Linked DNA regions of Drosophila melanogaster. The protein of the gene in region 1 purifies or fractionates together with the protein of each later gene. This does not show direct contact. Each region holds a gene or a part of one and is shown on either strand. Other genes may lie near its edges. The genes, in order: hyx and atms.

The links.
Region 2: the proteins of hyx (region 1) and atms purify together in Drosophila melanogaster (affinity purification with western blotting; 2 studies listed by BioGRID, with this or other methods). This does not show direct contact.

Annotation. Positions count from the first base shown.
Region 1 is NT_033777.3:9,037,018-9,042,958, reverse strand, and holds hyx (hyrax), read right to left. Parts: upstream 4,200-5,941; 5' UTR 4,037-4,199; intron 3,805-4,036; coding exon of another isoform or gene 3,780-3,804; exon of another isoform or gene 3,488-3,779; intron 3,289-3,487; 5' UTR 2,998-3,288; coding exon 2,867-2,997; intron 2,792-2,866; coding exon 1,648-2,791; intron 1,489-1,647; coding exon 1,326-1,488; intron 1,259-1,325; coding exon 1,117-1,258; intron 1,055-1,116; coding exon 1,018-1,054; 3' UTR 610-1,017; downstream 1-609. Other genes in the region: Nmdmc (NAD-dependent methylenetetrahydrofolate dehydrogenase), read left to right, coding at 1-107, 175-302.
Region 2 is NT_033777.3:4,748,017-4,753,059, reverse strand, and holds the start of atms (antimeros), read right to left. Parts: upstream 3,026-5,043; 5' UTR 3,006-3,025; intron 2,652-3,005; exon of another isoform or gene 2,267-2,651; 5' UTR 2,174-2,266; exon of another isoform or gene 2,112-2,173; 5' UTR 1,984-2,111; exon of another isoform or gene 1,452-1,983; coding exon of another isoform or gene 470-1,451; intron 264-469; coding exon of another isoform or gene 95-263; intron 21-94; coding exon of another isoform or gene 1-20. Other genes in the region: CG44098 (uncharacterized protein), read left to right, coding at 1-20, 95-263, 470-1,451.

The DNA.
Region 1 (5,941 bases):
CAAGGACATGGTTAAGCCCGGAGCCTGTGTCATCGACGTGGGCATCAACCGCATCAAGGATGAGAGCACTGGCCAGTTTAAGCTGGTCGGAGACGTGGACTTTGAAGGTGTGTGGCTGATCTATTAAATCACTAAAGACCAACAAGATTGATTCATTTCCTCATCACTTTGCAGAAGTTCGCCAGGTCGCCGGCCACATCACTCCTGTGCCCGGCGGAGTTGGTCCCATGACGGTGGCCATGCTGATGCACAACACGCTGAAGGCAGCCAGGAAGCAGTTCGATGATCGCAAGTCCTCCTGAAGATTCACCAGTAACTATCGTGCTTCGCTGGCCGAGAAATAGTATTTTTATTTAATCCCCTAAACCTATATTAGATAGTAAAGTTACTGACCACAAGCTAACATGACATAAACCCACATATTTTGCTATATAAACAGAAATAATGAAATACTACTATTTCGTTTGATTTATGACTTTAACGATGGGAGGTATGAAAAAGTTCCAATATATGATCTTTGAAAAGGTTAAATAATTGAGAAAATATACTTGATGACAGCCAAATAAATTCCAATTATGTTACCTTCTGTTTGAATAACCGAAACAGAATGGCTTTTAACTGTTTATTATCACTAAAAATACAAAGGATACTTGCTCTCAGATGTTTGTGTTTTGTAGTTTACATTGTACAATTTGAACGAAAAACTTTATCTTAACTACTAACTGCGTATTTGGGCCTATTTGCACGATCGCAGGCCTGCGACTTATAATGCTGTTGCCAAAAGCGAGATAATCCTGGTCGGGCTCTAATCGGAAACTCGCACTGGAACTGGCCAAATGCCCCAGATTCGGCTTGGTGTCTTTCCTACGGAAGTTGGGCGCACACTGTAACATACTATTTGCGTCGTTTGTTGCATAATGTAGTACAGCCTGTCTATAATAATGGTAACTACTTGGGAGTGGGATTGAAAACAGCAGGTGTCGTGTTTCAGCAGAACGTTTAAGAATGCGGTGAGGGTTAATATCGTAAATCGGGCTTGTACTTGGCTATATATCTAAAAAGATTGCATTGTAAATCTTTTGTAACGAAATGGTGGATTTTTATATAAGCACTTACTTGTCCAAAGTTTCCCAAAATTTGCTGAGCACTGCCCGATCCATATGACGCTTGTTTTGCGATAGTCGGAGTAGCGTCACTGACCAGCGCTCCACGTTTGAGTCCAATTTCATTTCGCTAAAGCACAAATGAAAAGCGCAAACTGCAGTAGGTAAGAAAATGAGACTTAGTGAATTAAACTTAGAGAGCTGGGCATGATGTTAACTAACTTTTTGAGAATATATCGACGGGATTGCCTTCCCAAGGCCAGCCCTTGAACTGCCACTGGGGTCCCATAACGAAGACGGCCACCACCCGTTGCCACTCCTGTTGCGAGAGCTTGGTGGGATTATCTATCACCCGGTAAGACACAGTCTGATTGTTGCGTTTTCGCTATGTGTGAATAAAAGGGAAAATAAATTAGCACTGGTGTATGCCAACTCTTATCTTTAATATTTTAATAGGAAATTGAATACATCTTCGGAAACAAATGCTGTAAAACCTTTTGGTATATAAACCATTTGGAAGAGAATTCGTTACATTAAATCGCACCTGTAACAGCACTTCGCATTCGCGCTGGCAGCCCTGCAGCTTTTTATCCGAGGTGGACATGAAGCGCAGTTCCTGCAGGATATCCTTCGCGTTGAGCATGGTAATGAGGCTTGTGTTGGCAGACGGTATGATAATAATGGGGGTGCGAGATGTTCGCTTCGATGGACCATTGGCGGGCAGTTGCCGAGCTTGGGCCGCAGGTAGCAATTCCTTGGGCCGCCCGGCGGCTGCTCCCGCTATTACACCCGGTGCTCCCGGTAGGTTGTTAGCCTGCGCCTTACGCTGAGCCAGTGAGCCCTCCGTCACGGATTTCAGCGACATACCGTGGTATGTGCCGAGCGTGTCGATCTTAAAGCCCTCGGTCTCCTCCTTTTGCCGATTGAAGCGCTCCTGGTCGTAACGGTTGTATTGCGAGAGCTGCGGTTGTGGTTTGGCTATTCGAGCCGGCTCCGGCATCTTAATGGGATTGGGCACCTGTGGACGATTGCGTCCCTCCTCGCGCGCCTTGATGCCCTGAAGCATAGCAAAGATGTTCTTGGCAAAGATCTTGCCCGTGCTTTGCAGAATCGAAGTTCGCGTGCGCCACTGCCGTTCTCTGCTGATAATGTCCTTTGTGGAGTCCACATCATAGTCCAGGATGGCACGCAAATCAGTTCCCATGGCCTCGTCATTGTCCGTCCTTTTAATGGTCGTTCGCTTGTTGGCCAGACGCTTTGCCTTGATGGCGGCGATCTTCTCAACGGACATCGTCTCGGACAGCGACTTGATGTTGTCCATGTTGACAGCGGTCTCCTTCTGGTTGACATCCCATCGGGCGGCCAATTGCTCGCGCACCTTCTGCACTTGAGTCTCCTCGAAGCGGGCCTTCTTGGCAGCCACCTCAACGCTGGAAGGTTCACCCTCGGCGGCACGCTTCACCTGAGTGGGGATTTCCAGCGGGGCACTCTTGTCGATGCTGGCACACGTTGGCGTCTCGCCATTCAGATAGGCCAGGAGCTCTTTACGATCCGGCCGATTCACAGCGGGTATATCCTCGGCGGCGCACTGTCGCACGTAGACCGAGTGTTGCAGCATCACATTCTTGAGCAGGTACAGCAGGCACTCCAGCGTGTAGTACTCACGTGGAGCGCCCTTCTTACCGGATCTAATCGACGGGAGAAAAGTGTAAGAGTTAGTGGCTAATCCTAGTTGTCCCACAGGTCGTCCTGACCGCACTTACCCATATTTGAGATAGTTGGTCTTCACGCTCTTCGGCCAGGAGAACTCGCCGAAGATAATCTGGCTGTCTCGCTCGACAATCTCCTTTTTGTTTATGTTGTACTGCCGAAGCAGGCTGAGCGGATCTGCCATTTTTCTGCCGGTTTTCTGTGTGTTTTCGGGCGGCGGGCGTGTGTGGTCGGTGTCGCTCTGGAAGGCGCGCGGCGGCTACGCACTTTGTAATCCGCGAAAGATATATAAACAACTTCGATTCTCGCTTTTTATGGCATATTTTTAGTTTTTTGCCAGAGGTTGCGTGGAGTGTGACCGTAGGCGGGGTGAAAAATACCAAATATCATAGAGAGTGCATCGCTTCTCATTTGGTATAAATCGCTGAAGTTTCGTCTTTAAAAAATATCGCACTAAGTCACGGCTTTTCGTATCCTGTGATTTGTTAACAATTAGTTTTCTTAATGGCACGTTATACAACGACAACTCTTTAGAACACTTCACATCTTCAGGAATTGGCATCATTAATAAACGAAGTAAATGACTTTTCTAGCGCGTCTAGTGATTTGTTTATTTATAAATATTGTATGGTATATTCTTGTGTGGCAGATGGCAAAGCTGGACTGTCATGTTTAAATACTAACGCGGTCACACTAAAAAAAAGCCTTGCGACCGGCAGCTCCATCCAAATAACAATTAGGCAAAGCTTTAAAATGCATCGCATTTAACGCCTATGATTCCGGAAGTGAGCTAGCCTGCCAATAGCACACGATCGGCTCACGGTGCACATAATATCGAGCTTATGCGAGGGCTGGTCTACGTGAAAATTCAATGCCAAAGAAGCTGTGTGTGTCCTAGTTGTTGTGGCTGTTGTTTCTTGTGCCTTTCGGGAAGCGAAACACGCAATTTGTGATTTTAATTAAGCAATGGGTCAGTCGGCTGGTAAAATAGGTAAGTAAACAAGGCTTGATTTAACATGGGATGTCGCGTAAGGAGGATTTAGCTTGTCTGTCACCTTACAACAAATAAGCCGAATCGCCATAAGTTGGTAAAGTTTCTATTTAAAATGGAATCCTAAAGTTATAGTAAAGTGTATTACAGTTATAAGCCCCGCTTGAATATGAATTAAAAAACTATGGGCATTCCAATAGGTTTGTGACCTTCCCACCACCCACACACTCACATGTTGGCAAACAGCTGATCCCCCTTAGCGATGACACTCGCTGGTTTCGCGTTAGTGTCGATAGTTTTTGTTACTTGATTTTAATCTTACAGGTGTAAAACCTGATTTTAACTATAACATTATTTCTGTTGGGATTTAAAACCTAATATATGATATCTGTGATTTCAAAATATTTCCTATTAGGTTCCTTGAAAATATTTTAAAAGCTCGTGTGATTTTGAAGCTTTTCCATTCACATTCTATCCATATGAAATAAAAAGACCAAAACAAACGTTTAAACGTTTAGAAACTGGTGTAACGTTGTGATAATAAATTAAACTTTATTTATTAGAGGTCATCCCCAAAGAACTGACCATAAAAGCAAAAGATGTATAACCCATGCAAGTACACTTAAACAATTATTCCGAGCCCGCCTATAGAGATATCAAAGTAGTAAGCAGCTTAGGCTACCGAAAAGTCAAAAAAAATAAGGTGGTAAAAATTTAAAAAAGAAGATTTCTACAAATCCCGACATAAAATCAGCTCAGGAAAATAAGTCTGATTGTAGGACGCGAAGCTTGGCGCAATGGACATCGTATCCTTACAGGTGTATTTTACGGGGATTGCAGAACTGCACTTACCTGCTTAACACATCCACATCATCAGGGACTCCATCGAATCGTATCAGCTTCGATTAGACCCAAGATGCCCATGCAGCTGTGGACAATAAATTATAGAGTTTATGGCAATGATTTCTCACAAAACGGGCACAAGACGAAGGACGAAGGATCGCACAAAGGCGGAGGAGAGAATAAGTAAACCCCAATAGGCGCTCGGTTCAGGTAGGATCACCGAGTTGTAACTCCCTGACCCTGAGACAAAGACACATGCTGTGGGCTGGAAACCCGCCAGGAACTTCTTTCTATGACTTGCCAAATGTCCTGTTTGCATCGGAGTAACCGAAAAGATATCTTCCAAGCGCAGATCTCGCATTTTTCATGGGACAAGGGAGGTTTTCCATTTTACGGGCGGGAAAAAACTGCAATATGAAAACCGTGAAAGCCGAAACCCCCTGAAAAGGCAAACATTTGGCCAACAGAACGTATATTTCTCTAACGGAACGCAGTTTCCCCCGCATGTGTTGCATTGGCGGTTATTCCTCGGCGATGTTGATATTTGATTAGCGTACGCACGCGAGGATGCGGAAATGGGAAGTGGATGTGGAAGTTTAAGTTGCAGTTGGCAAATGGGATGCATTCTAGTTCCCTTTTGTTAGATCTTGATCGGAGTTTCGGGATGAAGCCAACTGCTGTCGCAGGTATCCTCAAAATATGGAGGAGTTCCTCTGAATAAGTCAGGTTTTTTGAAGAGAGTATATGGACGGCAAGCAACCCTCGGTATGGGAATCTTTAAGATCTACAAAGACCTTCTTCTTTAAAGCTATGTAGAAGATGTATAATACTATCTTGTCTGCAAAGAAGTATTAGAATTCTATTAGTAGTATCTTAGAATAGTTGTCAACGTGTAATTTTAACCATATCCTCAAACTCTGTTCTCCACAATATAATATGTACAAACATTCACTATACCCTCGATCCTTGCAGACTGGGAATACATATGGGAATACCTCCTCCACTATTGCTCTGTTTCTCAAGTGCTTGCGCAATTTTGGGTTCTGTTCTCCTGAATTCCCTTTTGTGTCCGCAGGATTAGTTCGGGTATTTATACATATGTATGTACATATATATGAAACACGACAACTGCTCCTCAAACGGCTCCTTCATTTTCCTTGGCCTGTCTGAAGTCCTTTCCCTTTTCTTTTCCTTCGAACAGCACTGCCTTTTCCCCATGACCCGTTTGCATATGTGTTTTCTAATTAAACATTGGCATTTGCTACAGTTTTTACTTAATTATGTGTATATTGAT
Region 2 (5,043 bases), 4.3 Mb from region 1:
CACGGCCGGAGGCCAAATCAGTAAGTGGCAAGACTTAGTTTAAATGTAAATGGATATGTCTAATGAATTTTTAATTATTTGCTCCTTACTACAGTGGCCGACATAACGGGGGGAAAGTACCGAACTTGCGTCTCCACACTCTTTGAGCAGTTCTGGTCTATTGGGGTAATGATGTTGCCCGGAGTTGCCAGCTTCTGGTCCAGCTGGTCCCACCTCTACATGGCCATCTCGTGGCCAACTGTGATACTAATCTATCTGTGGCAGTGAGTAATCAAAAACAGATATTGATAGCAAACTCATAGAGTTAGAGGGTTATCTAGATTCGCATAAGTAACGTATTATAAGTAACCCTCATAAAATACATTTATTATCAGGATTACTAGCCCAAAAAGGAACTGCTGTGCAGCATTCATGTGTACCAACATTTTGTGGCCCATACTGACACTTGCGTCTCGCATCCCTTTTACAGGTGGATTCCCGACTCGCCGAGATGGCTTATCGCCCGCGGACGCACACAGGACGCCAAGAAGATCTTGCTGGAGTGCGTGGAGGTGAATGGGACGGGCTACAACCTACCGCACGACATCGACCAGCAGCTGGAGCTGCAGGCGCAGACCGCCATGGACGCTCCTCCGCCGAGTGGCTGGTGGTCGATGTGGAAGGGGGAGCGAGCGGTGCGACACATTGTGTGTGTGCACCTGGCCTGGTCGCTGTACATTGTGGTCTATTACGGCATGCTGCTCAACATCCGCTCCTTCAGTCGCGACCACCTGTACATTAACACCTTTTTCGCGGGCTTCAGCGAGATGATGGGCACTTTCTTCGGGCTCTTCCTGATTCTGAAAACCACCCGCAAGTGGCTGTGGACGGGACTCTTTAACATCGTGGCAGGATGCATTGCCTACTGCGGCTGGCTGGTCCCGAAGCCCAGCGTAATTGGGCTGGATCCGAATGTAGCCCTGCTGATGTGCTCTGCCATGGTCTCGAAGATGGCCATTTCCACTACGCTCAGTATACTGACTACCTGCACGGTGGAGCTGGTTTCCGATGACAAGAAGAAGATCACTTCCTTCTCCACGATTTGCTGGGCCCGTTTCTGGCTGCTGGGAGCGCCCTTTATTGGATCCACAGTGGTCTTCGGCCAACTCATTCCCCAGACGGCCTTCGCATCTCTGGCCATTCTCGGTGGCCTGTGCACCTCCCTGATCAGCAGTCCCAGGACCCATCCCATCTCAAGACCCTCCTCGCCTGCTGCACAGGGAACCCAAAACATCACCTCGCAGTTCACCATCATTGACGGCATGGACAACAAGGGGTACAGCCCCACCTCGAAGACCATCCACTCGAACAGCACTATTTTAAAACTAAACACGCCGCAATCGAATCTACCTCCACAACTGATGCCCGGCATTTGGACGACCAAGATAACCGAGGATGGCCCACCCATGTGAACTGCCTTCAGAAAGCGTGCGTTGACAAATTAGCGGTGTGTTTGGACTTAAGATATAGAAATTTTTCTATAGCCCAGGAGTGGAGCCTCTATGATAATAAATCATATGCTGAGGGAAAGAAGCAGATGTTCAAAAAGTTAAGATATTGCTAGATTCACAGCTATGGCCGCGATCTGGTTCACTTTGGTGGTGCTGTGACTTGTAAACTATAGTCTATACAATTTGTTAGCGGTATATACTATGCGCCCGCTTTATAAGTTTATGGGCGCACTTATTGTAAGACACATTAGCTATCCTTTTTAAGAGGAAGAGTCAATATATTACTAGAATTTTCGCACACTTTTGTAGTACGTACATCAACTTCAACCTAAATCGGAGTGCTCAAGTGAGAAAGTCTCGCGCACTTGAAAACAAAATTACCTTAGGCAACACTTAAGCTAAAGCTGTGGAATAGAATCCTCGAGCAAATTATTTTAAATGGATAAATAAGCTCGCCGACAAAACCCAAACCCATACATATATTTTCCATTACCTTTAATTTTAGGGATTAGTTTATTTAGGCTATCCTCAGAAGACCTTAAATCATTCAAGTCTGGGATAAGCTTCAGCGCAGCCATAATTAGTAGTCTCATAAGAAAGTAAGTCAGATGTGGAGCACACCTTGAGAAAAAGGAGAAAGCCCAGTATTAAGCAGTCACTATTGAACCAAATCAAAAACGTACCGAATCGAACCTCACTGCACAGACAAACCATCTTTAAATGGTGATCCTTCTAAAGGCCTGTGGTTCCACATTAAGTGATTGTGTTGTAAACACCTGGAGAGAATTTCATGAAAAGACATACGAGTAGTTACACAATAATTATATATTATGGACAACTTTTATTAATTACCTTAATCTAATAATACTAATTGATTAGAACAACAATAATATTAACCTACACATTGAATAATTTACATTCGTTACGTATTGTAATTATCAATTACCAAGCTAATTTAAAATAAAACAATTAGTAGTTTTCAGGCTCTACATAAATACACAAGGCATAAATTACAATACATAATATTTTTAAAGTTGCATCACCTAGTGAATACGCTTAGCAACTTGTTGAATGTTATCATATATTGGTTACTACATAAAAGGAAGTGTTATACATGGCAAAAGAGCAATATTTTTCTAATAAAGCATCATCATAAAAACGAATTGATTTATTTTTTATCGTTGTTTGTTTTTTGTTTAATTAACGAGGGATATCTGTTATATCGATAGAAATTGAAAAAAAATATATATTAAAACAAAAAGAAGTTTTAAATTTGTAGAAGTGTGGGCGGTTTGTGGGCGTCAGAAGGGGCGTTGCTTTTGTTGGTAAATCGGTACAAATTTACAAAACCAATAAGAAAATCAAAAACATTTCCTAAAAGTGTGGGCATAGCAATCTTTGGCAGTTTGTGGGCGTGGCAAGAAGTGTTCTGGCAAATCGATAGGACCGAAGTTTGGAACCTTCATGGCCAATCTCAACTTTCTAGCTCTTATACATGCGTACTAATGTACATACATAGTTCCTGAGATCTCGAAGTTCATACGGACATGGACGGACCGATCCTGGTTAAGAATAAATAAATACTTGTTCACTATTAGTTAAATTTCCAAATATATAACTTTTCGGAATCCCGAACGGTTGAGTCGTTGAGTTACGCGGTTGCATTACAATTCTCAGAAGGCAACAAAATAGGGTGACGGTGTTGCCAGCCCTAATAAAGAGAAACATAATCGTCGAGTAGAAGTGCTCTCGTTTATGGATTTAAGAGAATGAAGTGCCTAGTTTTATACTTTAATATTAAATATTTGGACTTTCTGCGCTAATAATACGGCAGACTCCGAAAATATGTACAATACGATGCATATAAATCGTTGTTATATAAGGTCACTTTCCGAAATATATTCCTATAAGTTATTCTTTATAAAAATAATATCAAACAACAACACATCTTAACTTTATTGTGATAAAAGATGATTTTACATTTCACTACATAAAAAAATTGAGCAGTCGTCACTACTTCAATACAACATATCCAATATCAATATTTTACTGCAGCGTGTCAAATGTTTGTTTAAAAAAGCGTATTAACTGTGTCAAATGTAAAATTTTTTTTGGCACAATAATGTACTTGAAAACTTTTATATGCGATCTACCTGTGTTATACTTTAAACTTTTGACTTGTACTCTTCAAGTATCGTGTGCTAGAAATATAAAATGCAGTATTATAATACTGTGTATATCTACATAAGTAGGTAGCAAACATTATATTCTCGGTGACAAAAGTGATTATGGTAATAATACCAAAGCTACTGTTCCCTTTTTAATTCCAATTCTTTATTTTGACCGACTTTCATTTACTTGAAAATTCGTTGAAAAAAAAAATAAAGAAAAACTTGGATTTTATTTAACCATTCATAGATCGAAATATTGTGTAAGTGCAATTAAATAATGTTATTAATAACATGCTAGGTAACATTTGCCCTCTGGTATTTTTTCCCTGCTGGCAATTTGGCCACACTGTCACTTATGCTTCTTCAAATTGTAGCGGCATTTTCGCCAAAGCAACGTTGGAAATTCGCGTCACCAATTTCATATTGCGATAAATAAGAGTTTTATCCGAAAACGTATAGCTTAACTGTGTCATCGGCCTGTAGAAGAGCGCTGCCTGCCGGGATACACATATGCCATGGAATTCGACGACGCAGAAAATGGCCTAGGAATGGGATTTGGTGGTCGCGGCGTTCTGCGGGAGATCAACAAAAACGATGGCGGCATTAAGGTAAGTTAATAGCTGGACTTGGAGGCGTGCTCCGTCCGCGATGTACCAATGCAGCCACTTTCGGCAGAGGCATAATTCAACTCACACGTCTACAGGTACATATGTGTGTGTTCGGTTATGTACTTTGTACATATGTGTGGGTATGCTGCGTCGCAGGCTGTTCTGCTATTTTCTTTATTCGCAATTGTTCATCGTAAATACATATGTACATATAAATTTCCATTATTCGCTGTTCCTATTAGCTCTGAGGCAGCTGTCGCGAACGAGAGTTCTCTAGTTGATCGGTGTCCGCCGGACATTGTCCATCCCAGGTGACCAGTTTCCCCGATCTGCCATAGCCATAGGAGAATGGGCAATAAGCCGGGCAAGACACGGAAACCGAGGGCCTTGTCCGGGAAAATTACCATAAAGGCGGACGACGGACGAGGGAATCGGGTATGCCAAGGGAAAATCAAAAGTTACTTATTCTTCCTTCTATATATTTGTCTCTTGAAATTTCCACTCTCCAGATGGTGCACTTTCCATTTAAAAATGCTAGTGTGTATCGCTATTATGCCAATAAATCAGTTGGCGGCTAACGGCTGCAAAATGTCAGTGCCTAATGCGGTTTACAGTCCAAAAAACGCCCATCTGAGGATTTAAGTTTGACTAAATGTCATTTAACTCCATCTTCCCTTTTGCCAACAAAAATGCTCATTATAAAGGATCTACAGATGGTTTCCACCCCTTTCCACATTTGCCTATTTTTAGATCAGTTTATAGTTGGCTCTTCCT